Linked DNA regions of Cricetulus griseus. The protein of the gene in region 4 interacts with the protein of the main gene of each other region in a pairwise test. Links are inferred from orthologs where the notes say so. Each region holds a gene or a part of one and is shown on either strand. Other genes may lie near its edges.

What was found. The genes of interacting proteins can lie anywhere in the genome.
Region 1: the proteins of Fam118a (region 4) and Atox1 interact in binary tests that used the Homo sapiens proteins (3 or more experiments, as listed by UniProt). The two-hybrid records come from large-scale screens. The link is inferred for Cricetulus griseus from reciprocal best matches to the Homo sapiens genes FAM118A and ATOX1.
Region 2: the proteins of Fam118a (region 4) and Mob3c interact in binary tests that used the Homo sapiens proteins (3 or more experiments, as listed by UniProt). The link is inferred for Cricetulus griseus from reciprocal best matches to the Homo sapiens genes FAM118A and MOB3C.
Region 3: the proteins of Fam118a (region 4) and Wdr4 interact in binary tests that used the Homo sapiens proteins (3 or more experiments, as listed by UniProt). The two-hybrid records come from large-scale screens. The link is inferred for Cricetulus griseus from reciprocal best matches to the Homo sapiens genes FAM118A and WDR4.

The regions. Positions count from the first base shown.
Region 1 is NC_048600.1:69,641,474-69,646,550, forward strand, and holds the start of Atox1 (copper transport protein ATOX1), read right to left. Parts: upstream 3,339-5,077; 5' UTR 3,136-3,338; coding exon 3,067-3,135; intron 1-3,066. UniProt on the Homo sapiens protein: Binds and deliver cytosolic copper to the copper ATPase proteins. May be important in cellular antioxidant defense.
Region 2 is NC_048595.1:36,509,518-36,514,475, forward strand, and holds the start of Mob3c (MOB kinase activator 3C), read right to left. Parts: upstream 3,339-4,958; 5' UTR 3,206-3,338; intron 1-3,205. UniProt on the Homo sapiens protein: May regulate the activity of kinases.
Region 3 is NW_023276806.1:259,843,045-259,848,027, forward strand, and holds the start of Wdr4 (tRNA (guanine-N(7)-)-methyltransferase non-catalytic subunit WDR4), read right to left. Parts: upstream 3,339-4,983; 5' UTR 3,269-3,338; coding exon 3,180-3,268; intron 3,019-3,179; exon of another isoform or gene 2,907-3,018; intron 2,679-2,906; exon of another isoform or gene 2,488-2,678; coding exon of another isoform or gene 2,420-2,487; intron 1,768-2,419; coding exon 1,699-1,767; intron 1,085-1,698; coding exon 941-1,084; intron 1-940. UniProt on the Homo sapiens protein: Non-catalytic component of the METTL1-WDR4 methyltransferase complex required for the formation of N(7)-methylguanine in a subset of RNA species, such as tRNAs, mRNAs and microRNAs (miRNAs).
Region 4 is NC_048595.1:381,878,527-381,883,282, reverse strand, and holds the start of Fam118a (protein FAM118A), read right to left. Parts: upstream 3,111-4,756; 5' UTR 2,975-3,110; intron 1-2,974.

The sequences.
Region 1 (5,077 bases), on a different chromosome or scaffold from region 4:
TATCAGGTTCACAACAGCCTGTAACTCTTAACTCCAGGGGATCTGATGCTTTTTTCTGGACTCCACAGGCACCTACACTTATGTACACATACCCACACAGACAAACACATATACATATAATTAAAAAAAAAAAAGCAGGAACTAGGCAGTGCATGCCTTTAGTCCTAGCACTCGGGAGGCAGAGACAGTTAGATCTTTGTGAGTTCGAGGCCAGCCTGGTCTACTGAGCGAGCTCCATAACAGTCTCCAAAGCTACAGAAAAACCCTGCCCGGAAAAACCTAAACAAGCAAGCAAATAAAAGCCAGGTGCATGCCTTCAATCCCAGTACTCAGGAGGCAGAGGCAGGCGGACCTCTGAGTTCGAGGCCAGAGGTCTACAGAGTGAGTTCCAGGACAACCAGGGCTACACAGAGAAACCCTGTCTCAATCTCCCCACCCCCCCAATAACAAAACAACTAATTTTTAAATAAATAATAAAAAATATTTCATTTCAAATAATAAATAGGGCTAGAGAGACAGCTCAGTAGTTAAGACTACTTGTACTTTCCCAGAAGTTCTGAGTTTGGTTCCCTGAACTACAACCACCTGTATCTCCAACTCCAGGGAATCTGAAGCTCTTCTATCTCTGCACATAAATGGTGCGCATGCACTCTCGCTCACACAAATAAACCTAAAAGATAATAAGTATACTATACTTATCCACTTATTTGCATGTGTGAGTGTGTGCCATTGAGTAAGTGTGGATGTCAGAGGCTATCAGGCTTGCTACAAATATCCTTATCAGCTGACCCATCCTACCACCCTCAAACTCCTTTCTGCAGTATTTTCCTAGCTTGAAAACAGAACTATTCATTTCCTCTTGCTGGGAGGTCACTAAGGTGATGAGGCCATGGGTGCAAAGGCAGGAGCCCTAGAGAGGCTTTCTTTGCTCCAGGGAAATCTTGTTGGTTTTATAACAGCCCATCCTCCACAAACTGACTCTGAGAAGAATCTCTGAAGGGGGTTTCAGAAGATAAGTAATTGCTGCTCAGGGATCTAAAGTCAACAGTTATCTGAGCTCCAAACTGAAGACCCTAACAAGGAAGTCTTTCACAGTACAGAGGTGGGGGGGTGGGCAGCTCACAGGAGGCCAACACTCCACTCCAACTCAGAACTCCCTACACCTCTGCCTACAAACTCTGCAGTTTACACCTGAGGATGACAGAAAGTTCTGCCTAATGGATAGGGTGATCCAGTCTTCACAGGACTATCTCAAGACCTGCTCCATCCCTGGATGTCTCCCCAGTGCCTCTTACAAAAGGGTCATGGAAGAATGGCAGAGCATACACAGGCCCCAAATTAACACTTGGGAGGCCTACGTAGGAGGATTGCTACAAGGATCAGTTGGGCTACATATTCACTTATAGGCCAACCTGAGTTACAGTGTGAGATGCTGTAACAGAAAACAAGCAAAATGGATCCTCTGACGTATATATTAATGTTCTACGGCAACACGCTGTATTATGTATTATGTATTATTACATACAGTATTACTTCAGAGAGCCGGTAAGTGGTACAATTCTTTAACAGACCCTCTAGAACTGGAACAGTGGGAATGGAAGAGGAGAAGTTCTTCTAGAGAACATTGTGTCTTTGGACACTGGTGTCTGGATTCCTGATTACTAATATCTAATTATCTCTGATGTGCCAGGCCTTCTTCTAAACACCTTGTACACTGTCTTGTTTGATAGCTACAATGCTTCCATAAGCCAGGAAACTCTTCCTATTCCCAAGAGATGAGAAAGCTGAAGCTTGGAGGTTGGGTACTGACTCAGGGAGATGCAGCTCATGAGTAACAGGGCCTGGGTTGGACAGAGTACACAAAACTCTAACTTTTAACCACTGAGGTCCACGTTAAAATGGGGTGGAAGCCTGTCCTACATCTACACAGGAGGTACACCACTCCTTGGGGACCGGATGGGTCACTAGTTGTGTTAGATATTTTGATGACATCATTCTAGTTAATACCAAACACAGCCCTGCAAGGTCAGTTTCCAATCCCTATTTTATGGATGAGGAGATGGAAGGCACACACAGAGAGACAGAACATCTTGCCTGAAGTTGCCCAGCTGGCAAGCCATAGGGCATAGACTGGGTTAAGCTTTGGCATGCAAACCACCTTTGGTAAAACTCATTCCCCTGGCTAGACTGGAGGCGGCACTTGAAAGATACCTTTAGTTGTTGGTCTTGAGCTAAGGTGTCTACTATATGCCTCACTCCAATGAAAGTCCCCAGAGGCAGACACAGAATAGAGGGGTCTGCAAGTTATTTTCTTCACTGCTCTCCCCAGGAGAGCCTGGCAGCCTTGACTCTGGGATCCCAGGGTTATGAATGAGCCTCACACTGCAGGACAGACTGGCTTGACTGGTAGGATGGACTTTATCAAGTCTTTTGTTTGTGCTTTGTGCGATCTGAGGAAAAGTCTCTCAAGACAAAGGGTAAGAACCACAAGTGCCACCTGAGATGTTTAAGTCTGCATCAGGTGGGAGCCTCTGGTTCACTCACAGACGATAAGCCCGCTAAAATATGCCCACTGGGTTCAGAGGCACCAGGAGAAAAATGCTCCCGACTCCAAGGCCCTAACCATTATCTCAGGAACTCAACACAGATCAGAGCTCAAAGGCAAGCAGTACAACTGGTTTTGCCCAGCACTTCCCAGGTGATCTGGCTTCATCCTGGATCCTATCTACCTAGCGCCCAACTAGCGCCCAATAAATACTCTCCAACAAACACTGGGCTTTTTCTTATCTTGTGTAATGTTCCAAAGGCCTTTATTAATAAGCAATGAGGCTATGAGGCTAGAAACCACCATGCACAGGAGTGGGTGATTTCAAAGGCAAGGTAAGCGCTGCTCTTGGCTCTGGAAACTCTGCTCCGAGCTTTGGGAACTCCTGGCTGGAAAGGAGGAAAGTATCCTTTCGGTTCAGGGTTGCCCAGGGCTGAAGTGGAAGCAGGCCAGTGTGGGCAGGGGAGGTGGAGAGACCTACTTCTTTGAAAACCTACTAGCTCGGCGGCAGGGGCATGCACCTGGAAAGGGCAGGTACCGGCGTCCCGATGCGGGTTCTCTGCCCTACCTCCCGGTTTCAGTTTCTCCATCGTGCAGGGAAGATTGGGGCTGCTCCTTGACTCTCTAGAGCGATCTTGAGGCCTATATTCTGCAATACAGTTCTCTCTACAGGTTTCCCGAGGGTCGCGAAGCTGGAGGGCGAGTGCGGAGGGAGAGTAAACTAAAGCATGACTGCAGCTCCGGCCATGGCACGCGCCCTAATAGCAGCGTCTGGTCGGGCAGCGGTGCATCGGGCCGGAGAAAACGGTTCGCACGGGTGGAGCGGCAAGGCCACTTACCGGCATGACTGACGCGGCACAGGCTGGGAAGGCGGCGGCAGCGACTACGACTGGAACGCCTCTCCCGGGGCAGCAATGCGGCGCTTCCGGAGAGCGTTCCTGGAAGCCCCACTTTCAAGCCGACCCAGCCTACTGTTAGGCCCCGCCCTAGGACTGGGCTCCGCCTACTCCCCGCCCCTTCCGGGTTCAGCTATGGCAAGGCTCCGCCCCTGAGGGAGGCTCTGCTTAGTTCCCGTCCCTTTCGGCTGAATTACAGCCTGGCCCCGCCCCCTGGGCTGGCCTCCACTTAGTTCCCGCCTCTTTCTAGTCTCAATATATTATTAGGCCCCGCCTCTTTGAAGCTTAGTCACTGGCCCTCCGGAGGGGCCGGAGGGACTGGACTGTTTTGAGACTTGCCCGAAGTTGTCACATGAGATCTTAGGACGTGAAACTGCGCTCTTCACTGGGAATGCAAGATCAAGACTCCTAGAAAGGATGGATCCCGGCATTCCTTGCTACACTAGAGTGGGCTAGCCTAGGGCTGCAGGCCTGTTGTTCCAGCTACTAGAGAGAGGCTCAGAAAAGAAGGGTTCCTGGTTCAGGACCCTGGGCTGCAGAGTTCAAGGCCTTCATGGAATTCATGAGACCTTATCCTGAAAAACATTAGGAAAAATAAAAGAAATCCATTTCTTTTAAGACACTAGGCATATAGGTACACGCCTGTAATCCCAGCACTTGAAAAACTGAGGCAGAGTTGGTTGTGGTGGCACACACCTTCAATCCCAGCATTCCAGAGTCAAAGACATGAGGGTCTCTTGAGTTCAAGTCCAACCTGGTCTACAGAGTGAGTTCCAGGATAGCCAGGGCTGTACAGAGAAACCATCTTAAAAACAAAGCCAAAAGCCAAGGAAAAATTAAAACAACAGAAAAAGCTGAGGCGGGAGGATCCGGAGTTCAAGGTAGCTGGGGCCTTTATTCTCAGCACTCTGGAGGGAGAAACTTCCTCCCCTCCCCCTTCCTATAGGCCAATTGGATGAAACCAATTTTTCAATTACAGTCCCTTTTTCAAGATGACTCTAGCTTGTGTTAAGTTTACAAAAATCTAACCAGCACTCCTATCCTAAAGAAAAACAAAAAAACCTGTGAGAATGCAAGTGTTATTCCCATGCAATTATGGCTGCCATGGTTAGTTGAGTTACTACATGGGTAATCCAATACCCTTGAAGATGGGTTTTCTCAGCAGTGCCAGCAGGAGCCACTAGATGACTACTGATGGCCTAGATTGATCTCCACCACCAGCCATTTATGTTCCTTGAGCAGAAGGTTAAGAGAAGATCCCTAAACTAAGTAGGCAACTTGTCATTCTGTGTATCAAGATGGGTTCAGTCAGAAAACCAGGCAATTTATTGTACACAGAAGTTATGAGAAGTTGGCTAACAGGAAAAAGCCTAAGAATCAAAGAATAGGTGGATTGGGGGGGTGGTGGCTGAGAGTCAAGGGAATCATGAATTGGAGACCAGTCTGAGCTACCCAAGAACCTGTCTTAAATCAAATGAACTAAAATAACTAAGAATATAGCAGACTGGGCAGGGTGAGCACCTGTAATCTCATCACTTGGGAATTGGAAGCAGGGGGAGTGCAGGAACTTCAAGGTCAGCCTACCTAATACCACATCCGAAGCACCGCCCCCTCCACCCCAGATACAAAAGTGTGG
Region 2 (4,958 bases), about 350 Mb from region 4:
AGAAGTGACAGAGGCTTTTTGAAGGCCCACCAGGGAACAGGGACTCCAGATAAGATGTTCTCTGGAAGCCCCATAGGTCAGCTGTGTAGTGTGAGAGAGGCTGGCTGCATTGTGCTAGGGGTGACATGGTGGGCCCTGGACTTCAATTTCCTCTGGGATATCCCTAAGTCCATCCGGCCGTGGGGGATTCCCAGGGAGCAGAAGGGACTTTTCTGCCAAAAATGTCCTTTCCTTTTTCTTTACACTGAAAGAGGAAAGGGCCCTCACATAGCCATCTGGGTGGCCTGAAGTGTGGCTGCAGGCATTACAGGAAGGGGAGGGTGGCAGGTCTAGAAGAGTGCTACTTCCTCCGACAAATGCTAATGCTCCTTTCCTCTAAGCCAACCTCCTTCAGCCCCAAACCTGAATAAGCCACTGAATACACCTGGCACTCCACATGATTGCCAGCATGCCTACTATGCACCTGTTACCCTGGGGCAGGGGGAGCAGCCAGATCCATCCTGCTGGTCCTTCTGGATGTTTGCTTTGCCTCTTAGAACAGAAGGCTGCCAGACTCAGAACAGACTTCAGGGGGCATCAATCAGAGCCCCCAAAGTCCTGGGATCCAGCCCCTGATTCAAAACTGGCTTGCTTACATCACCACGGATTTAGTCCTTGTAAATCTTTGAACACTCTGATTTAGTCAGGTTTCTGAGCATCTTCGGCATTTCATCTCTCCCACCAATGTATATGACTACTGGGGAATACAGATCCAGGCTACTGCCAAGACTGGAATAAACGGAGCACAGACCCTGACCGCTAGGCTGTATAAGCTAAGCACTGAGCTCGGGCTCCATGCTGACTCTGACTTGTTCTCAACCTTGGTTTGTCTAAACCCCGAGTCTAGCTCCACACTGAATGAGGCCTGAGACAGTGGCAGACAAAGCTTATCCTTCACCTCAGACTGGCTTGACTTTGAAGCAATTTCCTTTCTCACATTTTTGTTAACTGCTGTGGCAGGACCAGGATAGAGAGGGTGGGGGTTAGGTTGGTTAGGTAACCAAAGGCATAGAGTACAGAGAGATGTTACTTCTGGCAACAAATCAAACTTACAGAAATGTTTGGAACAGTTTTTCCTTCTCATCACAGCAGGCAAGCAGAATGGATCAATCAGGAAAAAGGAGAGTAGTTTAGAGGGCAGAGAGAGTTCCTGACCACTTGAGAGAAGCTTGAACGTATGGAAGTTTCTCTCATTTATTCTGCCCACCCCCCAGCTTCTTCTCAAAGAAATGCCAGGCTGGGGCCTGAACTTCCTGAATGAAGAGCTCTGTATACTTCAGTTGCTGTCTCCCTTGTAAGCTCTGCCTGGGGCAGGATTTCCAAAACCACTCATGCAATCAGTGGGGTTTCTGGGTCCTCCACCTTGATATGGCCAACCATTACTGACTGTTATAGACTCTTACTTTTCAACTCCACACCCTAACTTCCCCACTCCACCTCCCACCAGCAGCCACCCTGGGCTTCTCCTTGATCCCTGAGCATGCCCTTACTCTCTCCTGCATGTGTGTCTTTTGCTGCTAGATTCCTGATTTCTCATTCCATCCTACTGAATGCTACCTCCTTCAGCACCCTCCTCCAGATCTCAACCTTGTATGGTGACCACTCTGCCATTTCTGTCCCTAAGCCCTCTAGATAAAGTCAGACTGGCATAACATTGGTGGCCGGGCTTTAGGGAAAGCTTAGACTCAAGAGTCTTAGAGTTGGCTGGGGAGATGGTTCAGTGGGTAAAGAGCTTGTAGTGCAAGCATGAGGACCAGTTTTGATCTCCAGAACCTATGAAAAACCTGACAAGACCTGGCAGCCTTCTGTAACCCTAGAACTTAGGAGGTAGAGGCAGGGAACCCCTGCAAGCCCCAGGTTCAGAAACACCTTGCCTTGGGCTGGTGAGATGTCTCAATGGGTAAACTTACTGGCCTGAGGGACCCTCATGGTAGAAGGAGAGAACTCCCACCAACTGTCTCTAACTATAACATGTACATTGTGGTACATACGTGTGTGTGTGTGTGTGTGTGTGTGTGTGTGCGTACACATAAATAAATGTAATTATTTTTTAAAAATAGACCTTGCCTCAATAAATGAAGTGGAGAGTGAGTAAGATAACTGATGTCAGCCTCCATACCTGCATGCCCACCTTCACTTACCCACAATACCAGACATATAGGAATACAAGTCTTCAAGTTGAAACAGCTCTGAAAAATCAAGTGGCCTAACCTACATGAGCAGATGGGGAAACTGAAGCCCAGAATCAGGATTTGAGGAGCCCAACTTTGCATAGAAAGTTATAAGAAGTAGGTGGTTGGGATAGAGAGGGACTTAGCCTCTAATAAGGTACAAAGGACCCTTTTCCTGCTGTCTGGCCACTGGCCTGGTGTAGATAAGAGGAGAGGAAGGGAGTAGAGAGGCCCCACCTCCTTGCTGTAGAACTTAAGGCCCAGGACTTTTCCTAGAAAGAGTAAACTTGGAGTACAGGAGGTAAGCTAAGAGGGCAGGTCCCCTTCTAGCTATGTCTCTTACCGCTGTTCTCTCCCCAGCCTCATGCCATCACTGAGACTGTTTCTTCCAGAGCCTCTGGGCCCTCTCTCCCAGTGGACCCTCCACTTTAATTACTGGGTGAGTGGCCAGTAGTTTGCTCACTCCATGACTGAGCATCTAATCTTCCCAGATGAAGAGCAAAGGTTGACCGACCCAGCCTGTTTCTAATATCTAGCCCCCTGCCAGGGACACACCTGCCCCTCCCAGGCCTGGCTCAGAAACCGCCCCAGTCTGAACTCAGAATCTAGCCAGGTATGCCCTGCAGGACAAGATCTAATATAAAAGTAGGAGTGTAAGACACAGCTACTGTCCAGCCAGACCCGCCCCCTCCCCTCCTTTGAGCTCCTAAGAACCTCCCTTTATCTCCAGCAGTTAGGGCCAAACAGGTCCTAGGACCCAGAGGAGCCCGCCTGACGTTTCCGCTCCTGAAGACACGCCCCCTCACCAGCCACCGCCACCGCCACCCCCCACCCCGGCGTTCGGGCGCTGAGCCTTGGACCCGGGGCTGAGGACTGTGGCCAGCCTGCTTTCGGGCTCGGGTCGCTTCCAGAAGTTGGCAAGCGAGGACCAAGAAGAACTGAAAGTGGAAGCAAGACCGGGCCGCGAGGGGCGCGGAGACGCGGCTCTCACTCACGCGCTCCGCCTAGGTGGACAGCTCCGGGTCTCTGTCGGTGCGGCCACACCGCAGCGGGCTGGCTCGTCCTCCTGCGGGTGATCCCGCCGGGCCGGTCTCCGCGCCTGTCCGCCTGCCTGCCCCGGGCTGCGGCCGCCGTCCCGCCGCTCGTCCGCGAGCAGACGCCAGCTCCGCCCCGGGCTCAGCCACGCCGTGGCCACGGGGCGGGGAGGGGCGGGGAAAGGGACTCCCCCGTCCCAGGACACACACTCTTCTCTCCAGCCTTTCCGGGAAGTGGGAAGTCCGGTGGAGCTCGCAGCCTCCCCTAGGGCCGAGGACTTACTGAGCAGCCGCCCCAGGGGACCGTCTGGATCTTTCTTAAGAAGGCGGCCTCAGATTCCTAGGCTGTAGAATGGGAGTAACTCCAGCTTCTCCCTGAAGCAGAAAGAAAAAAACAAAACCCTTGTGGTTTGAATGGTTTCCTAGTCCTCCCGCAGTCATCTGAGCTTCACTTGTCTCTGAACTCTATAGGGTTCCTAACAGCCTATATTCAGCTTCAGCCCACTATCACAAACAGCACTCAAGGCTAGATGCTGCTGGTGGTGGAGGGAGGGAGGGAGCATGTCTTAATTCCAGCACTAGGGAGGCAGAGGCAGGCAGATCTCTGTGAACTCCAGGCTAGTCCAGGGCTGTGTAGCGACACCCTCTCCCAGCCAGCCAGCCAGCCAGCCAGCCAGCCAGCCAGCCAGCCAGCCAGCCATTGAGTGAATAGCTATAGGGAGTCGTGGACAGGGTTACTCCTGAGAGGAAGGACTGATTCCTCCACCCTCCTTCCCAGAGAACGTTCAAAGAAGATGTCACCTTCCCCACACCAGCTGGAGACCTTGTTCTGGCTGGGTAGATTCTCACACCAACCAAAGTCACCTATATCCTATATCCTATCTCCAAGCCATTGTCTCCGTTGTTGTTCTACAGAATGGCTTCTCCCCCAACCCTTTCCAAACGGGTTCAAACCTTTCCATACTTGATGTTCATTGCCCACTTTTCTACCTAGATTTCTCCCTTGAAAACAAGCCGATATCCCACATCACAGCTTAACACATACCATGGCTTGACCCCAGAAATCAGACTGCAGGCTCTGTCTGGGAAGGGGAAATTGGAGACTTTCTAGATTAGACAGACAAGCATTATGGCTAATCTTCATCGTCAGCTTCACTGGCTTCGGAATTGCCAAGGAGACATCTCTGGGAGTGTGGCCACATGCTCCCACTGCCACAGCATAGAGACGCTCTTCCTGCCATACTTTCCCCACCATGGTGGTCTGCACTGTCAAAATGTGAGCTGAAATAAAAAGCTTCTCCTGAGTATTTAGTCAAAGCATGAAAAGCAACAAACACAGAAGGTCAAGTTGAGCTGCCAAAGTCACCCTGGAGGAAGAGAATGGTGAACTGGTGTGACTGGGGAACCACTAGAGCCACAGGTGGTTTTATACCATGGCACTAATGCCCCTTTGGGATTCCCTGAGTCTGGGCCTGGGCCTGCTTTCTCAATTGCACAAGAACACACTTAAATACTTAAGAATTTAGGTCAGAACCAAGCATCCATTCTTTGACCACGGGCTTATTTCTGTTCCAGCATAAAATTCTCTACTGTTTTGTGTCCAAGTCTTAACCTGTCCCTACTAAACACTGTATCGGTGGGTTTCACATTTGCTCTTTTTAATTTGATATAATAATCAATGCACTTTGTTGAGTGTGACAGTGTACTGAAATCA
Region 3 (4,983 bases), on a different chromosome or scaffold from region 4:
AAGCACAGCTCCACTAGCAGCTGGGTCGAGGGGAGCGTGGGAGAGGGGTTTTGGGGGCCACAGGAAAAGTAAGGCCCGGCTGACTTCACTCCATGTGCTACTGCCGCAGAAGACTCGGGCTCAGGAACCCCAAAGCATCTGTATTACAAGGTTGTTCGAGCCAACAAAATGCAATCCTGTCCACAGTGACACCCACCTCCACTCTCGAGGACAAGGTGGCACTGAGAAAAACAGCATCTCCAGAAACACAGATTCACAGCCGCCTCCTCAACATCACCACCGTAACTTCCCCCATAACCACAGGCCCATTTCTCTCCCTGAACCTTGCCTTCAGAAATGACAGTTACAGTTTGAGAGGAAGAGTAAGTGATGCAGCGTATTTATGTACCTATTGGGAGAAATGACTAGAATACCCACCTGCAGTCCTGCCCAGTTGTCTCACCCTACACCTACCTCGTCTTTTATCTTCTCCTCAGACACAAAAGGATGTAGCCCACCACCTAGCTTACAAATGTGCAACAGCCACTGCCACTTATCCAAAGCCCTGGCATCTTGAGTGTGAGCTAACAGTCCTAATCCTGTCAGGTATATGAGGCCACAGCAACGGGGAATGCAGGAAGACATATGGCATACAGGGTACTGACACTGCAGCCAGAGGAGCAGCTACACAGCCTGGCTCTGCCTTTCCCAGCTCCATGTCCTGAAACGGCTACTTAACCCTACGCCACCCCATGTGGAGGAGCAGGGCCAGGCCACCCTCCCGTGCTATTAGGATTCAGTCAGTTAGTGCATGTACAGCTCTGAAATCAGTGTCTCACACATAGCTGGCACTTCATGTTAGCTGCTATTACAATGGTCCCTGTCACCACTGCTGATGTATGACATGCAAGGACAAGGAGTGCATAGGACATCTTAATGACTCAATGTTAGCATTTCATACCTGACACTCAGACATTGCCATGGTTTTGTACGGAAAAGAATCAGACGCTTACTGTCATCAGTTAAAGCAAAATAGCTGCCAGACTTGGAGAAGGTGGACGCCAGAATCGTGTCACTCCCCTTGTCGATGGGCTGTCCGTCCTCCCTGAAGAAGGGCAGAGGAAGAAAGGAAAACAGTTAGGCCTCACCTGAGTTGCCAAGCTTGTCCATTCTAACACAGGGAAGGCAGAAGACGCTTGGTCAAGCAGGTCATGTAGCCAAAGCATAGTGACGAAACTTAAGGGGAAGTTCAGAGAACAGCTCTGATTTTACAAGCGTGAAACCTAAACCAACAGGAGCCCTCTGCAAACACACTAACATCCAGTGTGCGCTGGAAGCACTCTCAGCAATCACATGGCCTAACCCTCCTAGATATGGACTAATCCAAGGCTAGAAGCAGGGACCAATAATATCGCTAACAAACTGAGTCACAAGACCAAGCTACCACTCAAAACAATCACACACTGCTGTGTCCCTTTCAATTAGTTAATTCCCCACACCTGCTCTCAATGCATTTGATATGCTCCTTATTAATTTAAGGGACCAGTGACAAAAAATGGTTACTAAGGACACTAAAAGTATTTGGGAAGGCCCTTAAAATTATTTCCATGTTTCTTTCTGAGATGGAACTTAGCCTCGCCCCACAACTAGAAATTCCTGCCTCGGCTTACTGGTCTCACCATTCAAACCACAAGTGAGCACGATTCCCCACCATCTCACCCTTTATCTCCTGGCACTGACTTTTTCTCCGCAGCACTGCAGTCGTATGTGAAGACGCAGTCATCGTCACTATAGGGAAGAAACCAGAATGAGAGCTTATCAACACACAGAACTGCTTCTTGTCACTCTAGGACATTTCATCATCATTGAATTGGGGCCTTCTCCAGGACAGAAGAGCCAAGAATTGTCATCTGCTTAACCCCCTAATAGGCTGTATCATGAACAGCCAGCATGTTTCTGTTCTAAATCAGTTCCACCTGGCACAGTGGGGCACACCTGGAATCAGTGGACTCTTCCAGGCACCAAACTGTTGATTCTAAGAGATTATATTCTGATGTTATTTTTTTTAAGATTTATTTATTATGTACACAACAATCTGCCCCCATATATGCCTGCACATCAGAAGAGGGCACCAGATCTCATTATAGATGGCTGTGAGCCACCTTGTGGTTGCTGGGAATTGAACTCGGGACCTCTGGAAGAGTAATCAGTGCTCTTAACCACTGAGGCATCTCTCCAGCCCATGTTCTGATGTTATTTTCAACTGAGCTCTGCTCGCAAATTTAAAACAGTCGAGGCTGTCCTTACATGGTTCAGAAGCATGTCTCACCTGCTGGGGAGAAAGCCCCCACAAGCCTCAGGCACCTACTCATATAGGAATCGCCCACTCTCCCTATTAGAACCTAAGCTCCCTTGGGTGCTCTGGCCCGGTTTAAAGCACCTTGTACTATTGACAGCCGCACCAAAGACTTTTCCAATTAAACACTGAGCTGCAGAAAGAAAAGTCATTTTCCAAGTCTGAAACCTTGCTGGCCAATAGCAGTCCCTCGACGACACAAACTGAGGAACATTCCTAATCTTCAAATGTCAGAGTACGGAAACTAAATGGGAAAAGGAAAAGAAGCCAAAACGGACTGCCACTAAGTCCTTCGGTTCCTGGGTCACTACTTGCTCCACCATTCACTTGAGTCAAGCATCCCTTGACCCACCACTACGGGAATAACGTAAAGCAAAACCACTATTGGGAAGGACTAAGAGGGAGATGCCCGCTTCAGGCTCTGCGTGCATCCTGGGACTGGGAGGTGTCGGGGTATAAACCTAAAAACCCCGCACAGCAGCTAGAGCCGGGTTGCTGGACACAGACAAGGGGCGGGAAGCACGCCTGTGCTCGGTGAGAGCCAGCAGAGTTCGCAATACACCAGGCTCACCAGTGAGGTTCCGGGCAGGTCAGTCTGGAGCACCCAGACCCCAAGTCTGGCCTCCGCGACACGCACGTGACTCGGCCCTCCCCACGACGCGCAGGCGCCGCAAAGTCCGGAAGTGCCCGGACTCCACCCCAACGGAGCGTGCGCCCCAGACCCGCCGTGCAGGTCGTGGGGACTCCGAGGTCGGGGAACAGGGAGGAGGAGGAGGAGGCCTCATTCGGGACAGCGGCGGTGAGGCCCCGCGGTGAGGCCCCGCCACCGGCCCGGGCCTCTTACCTGCTTGTAGTGGAGATGGCCAGGAACCTGCTGCCGCCCCGCACCACGAGCGTTTGGCCGCACAGCGCCAGCCCCGCGGAGCTCGCCATGGGCCCGCCCGCGGCCTCCGCACACGTGCGACGCACCGCGCCCTCCCTGCTGGCGCCCGCCAGTGACGTCACTCAGCGCCGCGCCATGGGCGAGCCGGCTTGGAGCATGCGCACAGGGAGTGGTCGCCTTTGTTTCTGAGTACCCGAGGGTGCTGCTGCTCCAGAGCTGGGTCCTCCCCATGCACCTTTCCTATTGACTGGCTTTCTGGTCCGTCAGGTTCGGTGCTTCTAAGTTCTAGGGCTTCCTCTTGGACGGAGCCTGGTACCCAGAGGGTGCCGGTAAAAAGCTGCCGAATGGCGTCAGTGCTGGATGGCCAGGCCCAGTCTGTCTCAATTCAGGCAAGGCCGCTGGAACTGTGCTACGCACCCTCTTCGTGTACGACAAAGTCGCCTCGATCCCCCCTGTCTAAACGTGTTTAATGGTGTGCCTCCCCAGGTCCACAAAAGACTCGTCCCGTCCCAGTGGCTCTAAAAGGCCCAGAATGCGGTGCTATCTTACTGGTTGGATGTGGGCCCCCGAGGCAGCTCCTAAAAAGATGGTTTATCGACCCCCATCACATCCTAGTCTGTGACTCGCAGCAAAATCAGTCACTAATGCTGTGTAGAATTGCCGTCTTAACGCTGTGCGGATCCCCGAGCGAGTCCATTTTATAAAGCTCCATTTTTCCCTCAGACAGAGTGACTCTTCATTTTACTTGTGCAAGTAAACACTCACCAACTCTAATGCAGAGCAGAGACTGATAAAAATCACTTGTGCAAATTAAATCACCACCTACAAACTAAATAAGTTAAATCAGGGGTGAATCAAAATCCTGAGCTTATCAAACACCAATAAATAATGCAAGCCCTTTGTCTGGGCCCTAAAGAGAAAGTTGTACCTAATGCTAAGGTACCACAGAACACACCTGTCAAAAAAACAAAAACCCACCTGTCATCAAGCCCTTCTGCACAGTGCTGACAATGTGGAAAGGCACAAGCATGTCCATTTATGTAACAGCTTACTCAAAACCTAACATGTGACTCGGGGGAGGGACCCACACATGACAGGATCTTTGGTCGATCACAATTCTGAAGCTCACTGGGCAGAGTTTTTAGTATCCATTGGAGCAGGTTATGCCTTGACTGGGCCTGAGATCTACCCTCTTAGGTGCCTCTCCTTTTCCAGAACTTTCTTGGCTACTTTGATGAAAGAGCCCTTTGAGTGACTTTCCCCCTTCCTGCCCTTGGGAAATCTGGAGCCCAGAGGCCTCTGTTCCTGTTAAACTACCCATTTTATCTTGCACCCGTTGGTGGTGCTTAAGTCCAGGTTCCTGGAAGGTTATTCAGTATTAATGCCCCCCCAAAAAATAGGTGGGCTCCAATTTAAACATAGCTGGGAAGTTACTGGCAATTGATGGCTTCTGGAAGTGAGGGGGTGGTCAACTTTCTTCAAGAATATGGCTCTGAGAAGTCATATGACCCATAATCTAGTAGATGGTTCCATACCCATGTGTACTAGCAGCAATGAGTGAATCACGAGCACACACACAAATAACAAATTTGGCTTCCTCCGGGTTCCTGTTATGTGCTGTTGCCAAATTTCAAATCCCTGAGCAAATGCTACCCAGAAATAATCACTCTGGCAGCAGGTTCAGTTTTTGTTGTTTTGTTTGTTGTTGTTTTGGGGGCTTTTGTTTGTTTGTTTGTGTTGGTTTTTCGAGACAGGGTTTCTCTGT
Region 4 (4,756 bases):
TGACCTCCGCACATGCTGTGTCACATGTACTAACACACATCACATGCACAATAAAAAAAAAAAAAATTCTAAAAAAGAAAAAGGAAGGCTGGGCGTTGGTGGTGCACTGCCTTTAATCCCAGCACTCGGGAGGCGGAGGCAGGTGGATCTCTGTGAGTTCGAGGCCAGTCTGGTCTACAGAGAGAGTGCCAGGATACGCTCCAAAGCTATACAGAGAAACCCTGTCTCAAAAAACCCAAAAAGGCAAAATCCTACCAGTACCAAAACACTTAATATAATAGTTCCTTCTATGGACAGCATTATCCAGACTTGCTGGCACACACCTGTGGCCCCCAGAATTTTAGAGATAGAGGCAGATGGATTAGAAGTTCGGTAGTCATTCTTAGCTATATACTAAGTTTAAAGCCAGCCTGGGCATGAGAGAGCTTGTCCAAAAATAATAATAATAATAATAATTATTATTGCTGCTTTTAGGGAAAAACAGGAAGCACTTTGCATGCATGGTCTCATTCCAGCCTCTAAAATGAAGAGCCAGCAGCCCTCACCTGCACGATTCACACTGAGTCCATTCTAGAGGCGACTACCACGCTGCAGTCTGACCCCCATTCTACACCAGTGTGCTGGGATGCAAACAATACATGGGATGTCTTCCCAGGAATCTGCCATCCACAGCACTCACTGCTTGAGTCTACCCGTCAGAGGTGACACATACCATAACACAGGTATTTACATTCATTTAATAAGTCAGTAATGGTAAAAGCCCCCAACTGGGCCCAAATGACCGCCCAACCCCAGAAGATGCAGAAGAGATATTCTTTAGGGCAACTTAAAATCATAGAATTTCAGAGCTGGGAGGATCTTAAGGTTTACATAATGCCAAATGCCCTCATTTTTCTGAGGTGAAAGCTAAGCCTCTAGTAATTTGGTCAAGGTCTCCCCAAGCACTGGGGACAGCAATAACTCACTCCTGGTTGGCATTCCAGACTCTCTGACTACAGCAGGCACTGCCTGTACCCCTGCAGCCCCAAGTCTCCCTGTCACATTCACTTCCACACCTGGGCCCCCAGGTTGACTGCTCTGTTTAGCCTGCTGACCCTCTGTCATTCCCCAGAAACATGGTATCAGGGAAGCTGGGAGGGATGAACAGACAGACAGAAACACACAGCCAGCCAGCATAAACAGCATTGTCACACAGCTGCCTGAAGTAACCTTAGCAGAACTGATAAGGAGAGCTAAAGGAGAAGAGGTGTGGCCACTTTTCCAAGCGGAAGGCTCCAGGCGGAAGGCTGTGGGGAAAGGAAAGGTACACAAAAAGCTCCGACCAAAAACAGATGTGCCGTGCTGCCGACAGCCTACACAACCCTCTTGAGTCTGCTCCGTGACACATGAAAAAGGAAGAGTGTGTACCTCCCAGGTAGCCAGAGGCTTCCACAGGATAACACTAGAGTAACTTACAGAGCATGCTTCACATGACCCCTAGATTTAATCCATTAAAATCCAGTCTTGTCACTGTAGGCATACTCTAAGTGACTGTCAGCCATGTGTGGCTGGTGTCTGAATACTCTACCACAGAGTGCTGTGGTGGCCACAGAAAACCTTCCTGTACCGGGCTATCTCCAGTTCCCTCTGCATCTCCCAAGTCTAGGCTTCATCTATTCTTCATGATCTCTAAATCCACTCTTTCCACGACTCTGGCTTGCAGCTTCAGCCCCTCTGGTCACACAGAGGATGGTGCTGACACATCCAAATGTGTCGCCTTCAGCACCTTTCCATTGCCTTCAAGACTCCCCAGCTGACCTATAAGAATCACCCTGGTGAGAGACACTAAAGTGACTATGCTGTGAGCAAACAGATAAAATGTCACCTAAGAAATTCTGTCTCCAGCACTAAGCACACTGGACCACATAGGGCACCCACTCCCTCTTTGACAATGTCTGACCCTTGTCTTTCACAATCATCAGGTCAAGTGTGTTCTTTTTGGTAGCAGTGCTTCAGGGCACCAGACTGTGTAGTAAAGTCCAGAACTGTTGATCAATGACAATAGCCTGAGGAAATGATAATCTTTGTTCTAGAGATTTCCAGGACTGAAAAGGATGTGTACCATTCGGCTCCAAACTTTCACCTCGGGAAAAACAGCTACTGACTTGCATTTCCTATGCAAGCCACCCCTAAAGCAAGATCCCAGAAGGATGGCCCTTCAAGCTGCCATCTTCCTAGCAACTAGGCCACTGTAATCAAGCCTTGCTCTCTTGGGCTGGTTTTGGTGGGCTGTGTATGGTAATAAAAACTACCACGCATTGAGAACACGACCTAAAAGAGCCTTGTCTGCTCAACTCCTTCACTCCCAGCGATGTCTCTCTACCATATGGGTCTCACGAGTTAAAATGCGGTCCCACAGTGAGCACAACGCACATACGGAGCCCCACGTCCCACCTCCTCTTTGGTTATACGTGGCCCTCCGCTGACCTGTCGAATGTTTGTACTTTTATTCCTGCTAACAAATCACAAACCTCAAGAACACTCTAGTAGAGGCTGCAGGGCTCTGTGAACCTCAAGTTAGAAAGCAGGAGGCAGGAGATCCCAGGAAGGAAGGACATTGGGGAGAGGTGGCTCTGAAGGCCTCCACCCAAGAAAGGTTGGGAGTTCACCGGCCGGGGAGACTCGAGGTTTTGGAGCGGAACCAGAGGGGATTCTGTTGGACTTCTGGAGCAGAAGACGGCAGGGGCTCAGGCCTTGAAGACACCGAGGTCCTCTGTGTGCTGAGTATGGGGAAAAACTGGAGGGTTTGGGGGGTTCCCGGGACTAAAAGGTGGTCCAGTCCACAGGTGGCCGCGGACCCAGGCAGTCCCAGGGGATGCCAGAGGTAGGGGTCACCAGGACATCTGAGGGAACTGGGGTCCCGGGAACTTAGGGCGGGTCCTGAGGGCTGGGGAGACACGGGGTGCTGGCACTCGGCCCCGACCCGCCGCCTCACCTGCCGCGCAGCGGAGTCGCCAGTGTCGCTCGCGCTCTTGCCGCCTCCTACCCGGGCCGCGCCCCTCAGGCTGGGTGGAGCCGCCGGGCGGTGCGCCGGATGGCGCTGCGCGCGCACCACGCGGAGCCTGCCGAGCCGAACCCGCAGCGCTCCCTCAATGCCTTCCCCCGCGCGCGCGCACTCCCCGTGCGAACGTTCCGCCCTGAAATCAACGGCCCCGCGGCAACGGGAAGCCCCGCCTGGAGTGGGCGTAGGCGTGGCGCGCCCCGCCCCCGAGGCTATGAACAGGCGGACTATGCAGCGGTGAACAGAACGAGCGAGGTCTTAAGAAACTGACAGCTCGCTGTGGAGCTCCCTTGCACTGCTTTGCAGCCTCAGTTTCCCTATCTGCACCCCTGGACCGCCCTGCAAAGACGAGAAGGTCGTCGAGCTTGATCGTAACCACCCCTCGGCAACCGCGTCCAGCCCAGCACTCGGGCGCTCTCCTTCCATCTCAAGCCACAGGCTGCGCCGACTGTGCCCCTACCTGGCCCAGGCTTGCTTTCCCGCAGTGACCGTCTCTCCCAGCTTGTGCCAGAGCTGGCATCTGGCCCTCCCGGTGTGCCCCAGGTCCCTCTTGTACACATCCAGCTTGGGCTCGGTTCCAGGGACTTCTGAGCACCTGTGCCCAGCTTCCGCACCTGTCAATCAGGGTGAACTCAGTACCGGCCCTGGACCGTGGAGGGCACACGTGGGTGGGCACTTCGCTGGAGCACTCAGCCTGAGGAACCTTCAGTGGTGGTTACACCTCTCCTTTCTCTAAATAAGGCTGAGTTGGATCAAAACCCACTTCCTCCTCCCCCCTGCCTTCCTGGGTTCTCCCTGCTCAGGCAAGTTTTCAGGACTTTCTCTCTGCCTCAATTTTTCTACCGGGGTTTGCTGTTAGCATCCCTCCGGCCCACAAGGACACTGCATTTTTGATAGACTCTGGTATTAAACAACTTTCAGCATGAAATTTGTGGAGCCAGTGGTTTCCCATGCAAGTATTGGGCACCTACCTGAGTCTTTGAATATTCCTTGAATAGTCCTCAGAACAACCCCATGAATGGCACCACATTTACTGCAATTAACTGCAGAAGAGATGGAGGCCCAGGGACATTGTATTGGCAATACCAGCCATGCATTGACTCCCACCACAGTCCAGGCTTCCAGCCCCTGGACTGGGCAATTTAAGTGTGATGCATCTTAGTTCACAAGTTCCTACCCCTGTCTATGCCAAGTCCCAAGACCTAGACTTGTGACACTGAGGGAGTTTCTGGGTCCCGGGGAGGAACTTGTTCAAGGAGATTGTGGGCTAGAAGGTGTAGATTTTGGACCCACAGTACACATACATACATACATACATACACACACACACACACACAGAGAGAGAGAGAGAGACAGAGAGAGACAGAGAGAGAGAGAGAGAGAGAGAGAGAGAGAGAGACTGAATGTCCTCCAAGGTCCAGTGTGGTAGAGCCCAAGTAATCTCAACTCTCCATCCAAACACAACCCCTTGGAGACACAGACTGAAAGTCTCAGCCCATCCAGCCAAGAAGCTTTACAAGGACAAGACCCACAGAAGGGACACCTTAGGAGCCCTAGCGTCCTTCTTTCCCCTATCCAAGAGGGGAGCTAAGCTCCTACTCCCCAGACAGGCAGTTCTAGGATCACCCTGATTTACAGGGAAAATTGCCAGAAAGCTGCTTTAAACCATCCCTGGCCACTGTGTTCATTTTGAGGAGATAATGTGGCTCTTGCCAA